Schizosaccharomyces pombe: one gene and its partner. The gene in region 2 interacts genetically with the main gene of each other region. Each region holds a gene or a part of one and is shown on either strand. Other genes may lie near its edges. The genes, in order: mug4 and opa3.

What was found.
Region 1: mutations in opa3 (region 2) and mug4 together harm fitness less than expected from each alone (positive genetic interaction), as found in Schizosaccharomyces pombe (one large-scale study listed by BioGRID).

Annotation. Positions count from the first base shown.
Region 1 is NC_003421.2:805,487-811,085, reverse strand, and holds mug4 (protein mug4), read left to right. Parts: upstream 1-2,230; coding exon 2,231-3,452; intron 3,453-3,508; coding exon 3,509-4,824; 3' UTR 4,825-5,010; downstream 5,011-5,599. Other genes in the region: rRNA processing protein Ipi1, read left to right, coding at 5,077-5,121, 5,165-5,237, 5,286-5,408, 5,459-5,599. UniProt on the Schizosaccharomyces pombe protein: Has a role in meiosis.
Region 2 is NC_003423.3:2,932,929-2,936,919, reverse strand, and holds opa3 (mitochondrial outer membrane lipid metabolism regulator Opa3), read right to left. Parts: upstream 2,230-3,991; 5' UTR 1,939-2,229; coding exon 1,831-1,938; exon of another isoform or gene 1,766-1,830; coding exon 1,608-1,765; exon of another isoform or gene 1,490-1,607; coding exon 1,099-1,489; 3' UTR 798-1,098; downstream 1-797. Other genes in the region: ubiquitin hydrolase Ubp9, read right to left, coding at 1-410, 468-481, 531-638, 683-709; GTPase Ypt1, read right to left, coding at 2,879-3,210, 3,370-3,466, 3,530-3,577, 3,629-3,752, 3,921-3,931.

The DNA of each region.
Region 1 (5,599 bases), on a different chromosome or scaffold from region 2:
GATCATAGAAGGGAAAGAAGGAACACAGCGAAAGAAAGAAGCGTTAAACAATAGGAATGGTTCTTTTTGAACCGATTGTTTATAGAAATAATAAAATGAATGTTATGATGTGAATGTATGAGTGGAATGTGGATGTGAATATGAATATGAATATGAATATAAAAGAAGATGTAATTAAAAAGTAGGATTTGGAATTTTTCACAACAAAAACTCGATTAACTGTAAATGTCGAGTCCTATTGTTGGTTAAAAAGAAAATTACTTAAAAGTCCTTTTGTAATAAATTCTACTCTTAAAAATTAAAACTGTTTATGCCTTATTATTACACATGTGTCCGACATGCCTTGCCTGTCCAAAATGCCTTGTCTACTATACTTTTCTATACTCAGTCTAACGCATTTACTTTCTCTGCCTGCAACCTTTCTGACCCGCTATAACGATAGTGACTGTATTCGTTTAAGCTTAGTTTCCGTGTTCCATCATCAATTGTTAAGCTTATTTCCGCAAATACACTCGCTCTCGCTATTTAAAGAATTTTCGGATTTTTTCGGTCTGCGCAGTAGCGACTATGAAGGCAGCAGAAGTACATTCCTACCGGAGAATGAGTTCCGTTGGTATTACACACGGAAGGCAAGTGACAAGGCTAGTGAAGGATGATCGATTGATCCTATTTCTCGGGTTGTAAAGGCCCCAAAAATAGAGTGTTACAAGAAAGTAATGGGCCTTGCTTTGTGCGTATTTTTGTTATTCAACATGAGTTTGCTATAGCATGAATTTTCTCTGAAATGCGCATACTAAATTGCAAAACTTGTTTGATAAAAGTGCAATACACTTATCATAACGATGTTGATGAGTAAATGAATGTTGCGCATCACTTGACAGTAGCAAAGTGCAATTATTGGTTTGCGCAACGTTGTTTTGTTCATTTCGCCAACTTTGCTTATTCACACCGGTTCTATGTTCAGGCATTTTGTTGGTCGTTGGTTACTAGAGGAAAAACTGTTGTTGTTGATACAAACAGAACCCAATTGTCCTTCAACCCAATCGTTTCTCAATGTTTACATGGTCAAGGTTTGTAGTGGAATAAATGGAATGGGCTGGGATGAAAGGAAATTAGCACGTGGAAGTGTAAACACATGATTTTTCAGCAATCCCGCTAATGTGATAGGCTTGGGTGAGAAGATGAAAGAGAAATAAAAGAAATAATCGTTCATCAATTCGTTCAACAGTTATAAAACAACCCGACCAGATAAAGTATTTGAAAGATTGGAGTCATTCAAGAAAGCGTAAGGATTCGAGATTGGAATCGTTGGAGAGATAGAAAACAAAAAAAAGTTTTGCTAAGCAACCATTGTATAAAATTTGAAAAAGAATTTTCCTTTGCTTTTTGTTTTTTTCACTTAGTACAAGTAAACAATCTCTTCCATTGAACCAAATCGTCCATCCTTTGTCAGCACGACCCTTTGCATCCCTCTCTATCCCTATAACGATAATCTTTCACTACGCTGTCCTTGTCTAGGATTTCTGTTGCTGCTAATCCTCGCTAAACATGCAATAGTATTAAAAGTTGTTGAATGACATCGTTATTTTACACAACGAATCATAGCGAGATCATCGCTGCTCATTGTCGTAAGCAGGCCAGGTGTGTTCATATTATAATTGTATCGGGTAAATGCAGCCCATGTAAACAAAAGAAATACGCTTAAAAGGGATTAGCTAGAAGAGAAAAAACCACCAGAACTAAAAACCAATAAAATAAAATAAAAAATCATTGTTTTTCTATTTCTTTCAGTTTCACCTTCTCGTTACTTCCTATCGCCTACTATCCATCTACCCACTGCCCACCTACCAATCTTCGGTCGGCCTCGTCTTCACCCACTTGTTTTTGTTTCATTCCCCCTGCATACACCCCATTTTTTTTATTCAATCTTTCTTTTCCTTTTCTTTTCTTATTTTTGGCTGTTTATTGCTGCTGTTTCCATTCCATCATCTGCTGGCTCTTTCTTTGTTTACATGTGCTATACTGATTGCTTCTTTGTCTTGCCTGATCTCCAGTACCACATCATTTCTTTCTTTTTACATCTCTTTTCTTCCTAAACCCATTTGTATGCAGCTCATGAAGTATTTCCTTTTTCCTTCATTATTCATTCATTACATGAAATAAAGTGCTCGTTTACCTGCTTTTCAATTCATTTGCTGATTTGATTTGCGCTTCTTTTTTATTTTTCACTATGACCCCACCGTCCTCGTCTTCTCATTTCCCTTCCCCTTCTAGCGCCAACAATGATTTTCATTCCTTAAGCCTTGAAGCGCATGGCTCCTTGTCCGACAAATTCATTTCTCAGTTTCGCTTAAACTACACAATTATACCCATTGCGCAAAAATCTAATATCTCTTTACCCTTCCTAACTTTGTCTCCATGCTCCTTCACCATCTGTTCTCTGCGAGCCCGTTTACATTCTCTGCATGGCCCATCCACAGTTTTTTTAAAGCGTGAAACTTCCCAAATTAGCGCTCGCGTAAATGACGAAAACGGTTTTACTGCATCTCCCAGTTTTTTTAGTGTTGATTGCTTCGACGAATTATTTCCTACTCTGTCGACTACCGATGAGCAACCAAAGGAACCATCTATTATTTCCATTTCCAGTAGTTCTTCTGACCCTAGTTCCTCCCCTCCTCCTTCTTCCTCCCTTTTAAAAACTCCCGACAATGATTTTTGTGCTCGGCCAGAAACGTTTGTAAAATCAGATACCGCCGATATAAAGCTACAAATACATCAGAATAATCTCGTTTTAACATTCCTGGATACAACGACTGTCTCGAAAGTAAACATCGTGCTAGAAATTCACATCCCAGTGCTTCGTGACTTTGTGACGTTTGAACAGTATATTCCTTTAATGTTTTTACCGTCACCATTTGAGACGATTCTTTCTTTTGATAATCTAAAATCGGACAGTCCCTCTTCTGACTTACATTTAGGTTGGGATCATACTGTTTCCAAAGAGTCAATGTCACAATCTATTGCTGAAGTCCTAAATCCTTACAACAAAGGTGTTTCTCGCTCTTTGAATGACGCTACTAACATGGAGACTTATCACTGGTCCCCTTTTCCTCCTCAATTTTCAACCTTTAATGATAATGCTCTTCGCCTTCGCATATACTACAAACCGAAATCTTGGCTTCCCAAAAATTCTAGTTGCTCGCTATCTGTAGACGTGAAAGCTACTTTGCTTGAGACTACCCCCCCATCATGCGAAGTATCCTATAATCTACTACTAACGTGTCGCTCCTCTAACCGTTTTCGCCTTTTTCCAGCTTCTACTCCTAACAGTAATGGTTTATGTCGAAACGACTCAAAGTGTCGGTTTTTAATGATACTTCCGGAAACCATTATTAAATCTCCTTCTTCTTTTATTGGTGATTCATATAATATTGCAAACATTGATCCACCAAGTATGTAACTTTTTTCCTCCTTTTCGCTATCAAACTACTAACACTTTTCCCGATAGGCTCTATGAACGTTCAATCGTCAGAATTTCGTGTAGGTGAAGTGCAGTCTTTTACTACAAACACATCATCCTTCGCATTCACATTCAAGGAAATTGTACAGTTGGGCTCCAAAGCTTCTGTACCCATGATTTTGTTCCCCGCCCCTTCTAACTATAAGCTAACGATAGAAAAACCTCCTTTCCCATGCGATTTAACAATACCTCATACTGCTATAAATGACTCTTGGCTTCCTATGAAGTTGAAAGAGACGAATGCAATTTCTTACTACAGAAAAACATGTTCCTCATGCAAGTATCCTTTCCAATTCTTTATTAATAAACTACCATTCTACCAAAGTCCCTCACTACCCTTGAGTGCTACTTATGTTTGGATTGCTTCTGCTCTTTTGTCAGTTCAGCCTGGGAACGGCTCCTTTAACATAATGCTTAGCCTGAAATTTGTTTCCTCAATGAAACCGGGAACTGAGCTGTTAACTATTAAACAACCAAAGTCTTCACTTTTAAACTGGGGGCTAGTTAATGGCTATCCTAAAACTGAAGGAAGAATTGTTCTTCTTCCTCGCAACGACATTGTACTAATTCAAGCTGATCAACCTACTTCGGTTTTTGATTTATGTTGGACTATTAAACCAACCTATGAAAAAAGCTCAAACTTTTCTTGCTTACAACTGCCAATTCCAGTTTTAAATACACCCATACTAACGCCAGTGACCATTAATATACAATCTACCACTTATTATCTAATTGGATATGCCAATCAAAATTCTAAAAAAACTCTAGATCAACCCACTAGCTTATTAGTACTCGGCTGCAAAGCTAAAAACGTTTCTGAACTAATACTATCTTATCTACCGGAAAAACCTATACCTGATGGTGCACCTATTGTAACTAATGTCGTTGAAACTAATAAAACCAATGAAGCACCTTCGAGTTTTCGAAAGTGTTTGCAGCAATTCCTAGTGTTTCTGACTTTTACGGGGATGACACTTTTTATACTTTATCAACTAACATTTCCTTATGGTGTCGCTAAAGACAACAGTTCATTTATTGATACTCCACTGCCTCATAGTTGTGAAATGGAAAAGAGTTTAAATGTATTACAGCATAAAGTTTTGCAACTGCAGGCAGTGAATATGAAATTACATGATTACTATGAAAAAGAACCAACTGAAATTTACAAAACCGTATCGGTTACTAGCACTCAAATAATGCCAGCTGTTACAAAAATGTCATCATTCGAACTTGAAAGGGAGCAATTTCATAAGGCATTTGGATTTTTACGGCTAAATAGGAAGAAAGATGACAATGCCAACTAAACATTAATTTTTTCAATCATCAGCACACTTTTTTAATCGTACATACAAAATGCAAATCTTTTGATTAAATTGAAATTTTTTATTAATGAATGTGTTGTTGCAAAACGACTTGGATTAACAAATCGAAAATTTTCTCATTTCATTACATTAGGCACTACTCACATTTTCTACATTTTGGGTACTCCACCAAACGTAACGTTGTCTGAAAGTACGAAGTTTAAATTGTACAATTAATTCCACAATATATTAAATATGGGTAAATCAAAGAAAGCAAAAGCTAAAAGAGCTGATTTTAATGTAAAATTGTTGTCGGAAATAGCTGTATTAACTGATTTTTTAGAAACAAAAACTCAAGGTGGGAAAATCAAAAAATGCACCAAATAATTTTACCGATACCTCATTCAGAACAAAAAGTATGAACAAAAGGAATTTTTATTCAAATAACTAACCTAAACATCTAGCGCTCGTACTTCCAACACAGGCAGCTTTAGAAAAGGAGGATTTCAATACAACAGCTAAGGATCAGGCGTACTTTGCACATCTTTTAGGAATGTTAAAGCATCATAATGCCAATCAACGGCAGGGTAAGAGAAATTTTCTATTAACTTATGCATCTTTTGCTAACATGTTAAAGAGACGTTGGAAAAGCTTACACAATATGTTTTATCTCATACAAGCATTTTGACGACGTCGACAGCGCTGCTGTTAAAGTTAACATCGCCTTTGATACTTGATGAATCCTCATCGGTACGAGATTGTCTATATCGATTTCTTG
Region 2 (3,991 bases):
CTCTACGTAGAACTTGGATAAAACGCTCGGGAGAACAAATACCATAACGACAATCACAGCAACTTACGGAGCAATAAAGATCCTTTAAACAAGTATATATGTTTTCTTTCATTCCATAAGCAGAACAATTGCTTTCGCCTACAACGATTTGATGCTTCGTCCCGGATTCAGAGCCGACGTTACTAATATCGACACAGCCGCAAGAATTTATACCATTGGACCCGTATAAAGAGGACTTCCTATTCTCCATGCTCTTTTTCTTACTGTGTCGTGAGGAAGATGATTCAGGATGGTTGGTTTTTGTACAAACGCTTTTAAAATTTGGAGGAGCACTCGGAAGAGGATACGAATTTAAAGAATCACGAAAGGGCTTTAAATGGTATAAAGATACTAAGACAGAACTCACGTAACTATTTCGTTAGAAATTTACAATCATAAAAGCAACGCTACAAGTATGATCGCCATACCATGTATTTCCATACTAAAAATATGTTAGAGCAGAAGAAATTATAACTAATAAAAATGCTTACATTTGTTAAACCATAGAATCGATCTGTTAGGGTTTCAGGGCGAATTGATGGCTTCGGCAACTCTGCTTCCCAAGTGCTTTTACGCCGGTCAGTGGAGCCTGGGGAATTCTATAGTTTGTCAGTCTTCAATTCATAACTAACAATTGAATTACCATTCCCATCCAACGAAGCAGCGACATGCTGAGTTGAACTAAAGGATGCTAAGTTTACAAACCAAGCACAGCGGGGAAGTGAACGCAAAGGGAAGCTTTCACGCGCTCAGAAAGGGGCGTACGTTGGTGATCATAATCTTAGGCTATTATTATATTAACAGCCAACTATCTAAAATAACGAAGTGCAATGTATTGTAAAATGAGCGATAAAACTCAGTAGATATTAAGTCAAAAAAGCTATAAATAAACCGTAACTAATTTTGGAAATGTGATCTGGTTAAACGAAGTATCAAATGTACAATAAATTAAAAGAAAGTAAACATCAGTTTGGTGAAATGGGAACAGATGAATTTCTGCAATGTATCAAAATTTACTCATTAATGCAAGTTATGTGTAATCGTAGTATTCACCATCCACTAACCTGTAGAAACCGATTTGGTGTTAGAAGATGGAGGATGATCTGCCTTTTCTGAGACTGTTTCACGTGGGATTTCCTTTGAAGGAGTGGCTTCTGCTTGCTCGTTCTGACTTGGCGTGTTTTGACGAAGAGTATGGAGCTCACGTTCAACTTTAAGAATGACTTTGTGGAGTTCGTCAAAATCCTTTTCGGTACTATCAATTTCCTCAGTCGAAGATTGGAGTTCATTCTTTTTCTTCTGTAAAACAAACTGCTTTTCCATGATTTCGTTAATACGAACGATTTCATGTTGTAAACCAAGAATCGCTTCAGCAACTTCATCTCGTCTATTCTTTTCCTTTCTACGAGCCCTCCATGTTTCAAATAAAATGGCTCCTCCAGCAACAGTACTGTAAATTGTTAGCAAGAGAAGAACATTGTGACAAGTTGGATTTCGTAGCTCCTTCACAATGTGCCGTATTAAGCATTGTGGAGAGGAAGTACGTCAAATCGTATTAATTTTCATACAATATAAAAGTTTCTGATAAAAATGTTGCACCAGCATCGACTGCTTTGGCATCGTTTAAAGGTCGTAATCGTACATTAGCTCCTCCACTTTTAGCTCTGTTAATTCCTGTTATTCTAAATTCCGCGCGATGCATCCATTGAGCAAATTCAATACATGCCTATATAGAAATTTCGTTAGTAATGCTATAAGATTCTCTTTATCATCTATTTTACTGATTTATACCTTTCGGAAAGCCTTGTGCTCTTTAGCTTGGGCTTTGATTGTATTGGCAATCGGTTTGGATAATGTTCTTACTAACAAGCTTCCGATTTTTAAGGCTAGAGAAGACATTGGATTGTAGAGAAATGTTAATGGATACCAGAACTTCAAAAATATTCGAGGGGGAATAAACCCGCAAAGGATTTCAAATTACCGACTAAAAGTACTACCACCTCAATTAAATAGAGGTATAAAAGAAAGAAATCTCCGATAAAATTAGAATGCAGATATAAGCGTGTAACAATAGCTAGGATATTTATGCAAGGTCGAAGATATACTCTTCCGTTAATCAATAGCAATATTTAAAACCGCAACACCAAGTGCGTGCTTTATTTTTTTAATCTATTAATTAGAAAAGTTATTGGAAGAGGAAAGTAAATTTGATGTTGCTGAACTTGATATGCATATTCTGTCGGTTTCTCTGATTGGTTTACTAATCCTTCTTACACCGATCCCTGTGTGTGCTTAATATTTTGCTTGTATTAGAAACTTTAGTGTCGCAGTTATCAATACTTGTCCTTAGTAGTACAGTTGTATTTTCATTTCTTAATGTAACGTACATACCATTCAACCTTTGACTTACTATTATATATTTGATTTTTAGTTAATGACTTTTGTTAGCGAACCGTATGTTATGCAAATAGTTCCAAGCAACTATAGTTTTAGGGAATACTGTAAAGTGCTAGTTAATGAGCAATACGCGTATTATACAACGTTTACAACAGTTTATCATATCACGCTACAAAATAAAGTACATAAGACTAGCAGTTTTCTACATAGCTTTGCTTAAGATTTTAAACTACCGTTGATAAAAGGGAAACGTAGCATGCATCCAAACCTACAAATAACTTTCTATAAGTATCGTAAAAACTCAGAAAGTAGATACCTAATATTAGCAGTTCACCGTCAGCGAATGAAACTCACAAAAGGAATGACAGCGAAGTACGTAAAACGTATGTATATAAAAATATATTAAAAGCGCATTCAGAGGTATAACCAACAAACATGTAGTTTAGCAGCAGTTGCTGGAACTTTGGGAAACGTTAGTGCCCTGACCAACCTTGACACTAGATTTGGCATTGGAAGAGGCAAATGTATTATTTCCCATACGTTCCTTAATTTGACGGGACATAGTTAAGAAAGCTTGCTCAACATTTGTAGAATCTTTAGCAGACGTTTCGAGGAAAGGAATATTCAAACTGTCAGCAAACTCCTTAGCAACAGAATATTCAACAACCTTCTTATCAACCATATCTGACTTGTTTCCTACAAGAAGACGATTGACTCCTTCAACGGCATATCTATCTATTTCCTGAAGCCATTGCTTAACATTGTTGAAAGAATCTAAGAAGCAAGCATTAGCCTCGGAACCGCGTCGGAAACAATGTGAAGACTAGAAAACGCCATAAAAATATCCCCCAAACGCCTTATAACGCATATACGCGCATATACAGAAAACGGAAGACAATCAAATTGGTTTTCCATACTTCACACATTACATACCTTGATCGGTAACATCGTATACGATGATAATTCCATGAGCTCCACGATAGTATGAGCTAGTAATTGTACGGAAACGTTCTTGACCAGCGGTATCCCACTATGATAAATCGTTAATAAAAAAATATCCCGGAACGCCAACGAGAAGTAAACTATCACTTACGATTTGAAGTTTAACAGTCTTTCCCTCTAATTCAAAAGTTCTGATTTTCTAAAAAAAGTTAGCAATAAATATGGTTAAGCTGCTTGAAAACGGACGTACAAAATCAACTCCGATAGTAGAGATATAGGATTCAGTATAAGTGTCATCGGCAAAACGTAGAAGAAGGCAACTCTTACCGACACCAGAGTCGCCAATAAGTAAAAGCTTAAAGAGATAGTCGTATCTATTAATATTAGCATTCATCTTCTTACGGTAAAAAAACTCATTACCTATTGATTAGCAATTATATCGCCCAATTTACAAGAATTCTTTAATTTTGGAAAGAAAATACTCTATAAATTGTTAATTTCTAGCTCCTGATGTATTGAATAGTATGCTAAATCCTTACTACTCTGGATTCATCGTATATGCACAGTAATGGCGGACGTTCTGTTGCTCGCTTCAGTCTACGCATATACCAAC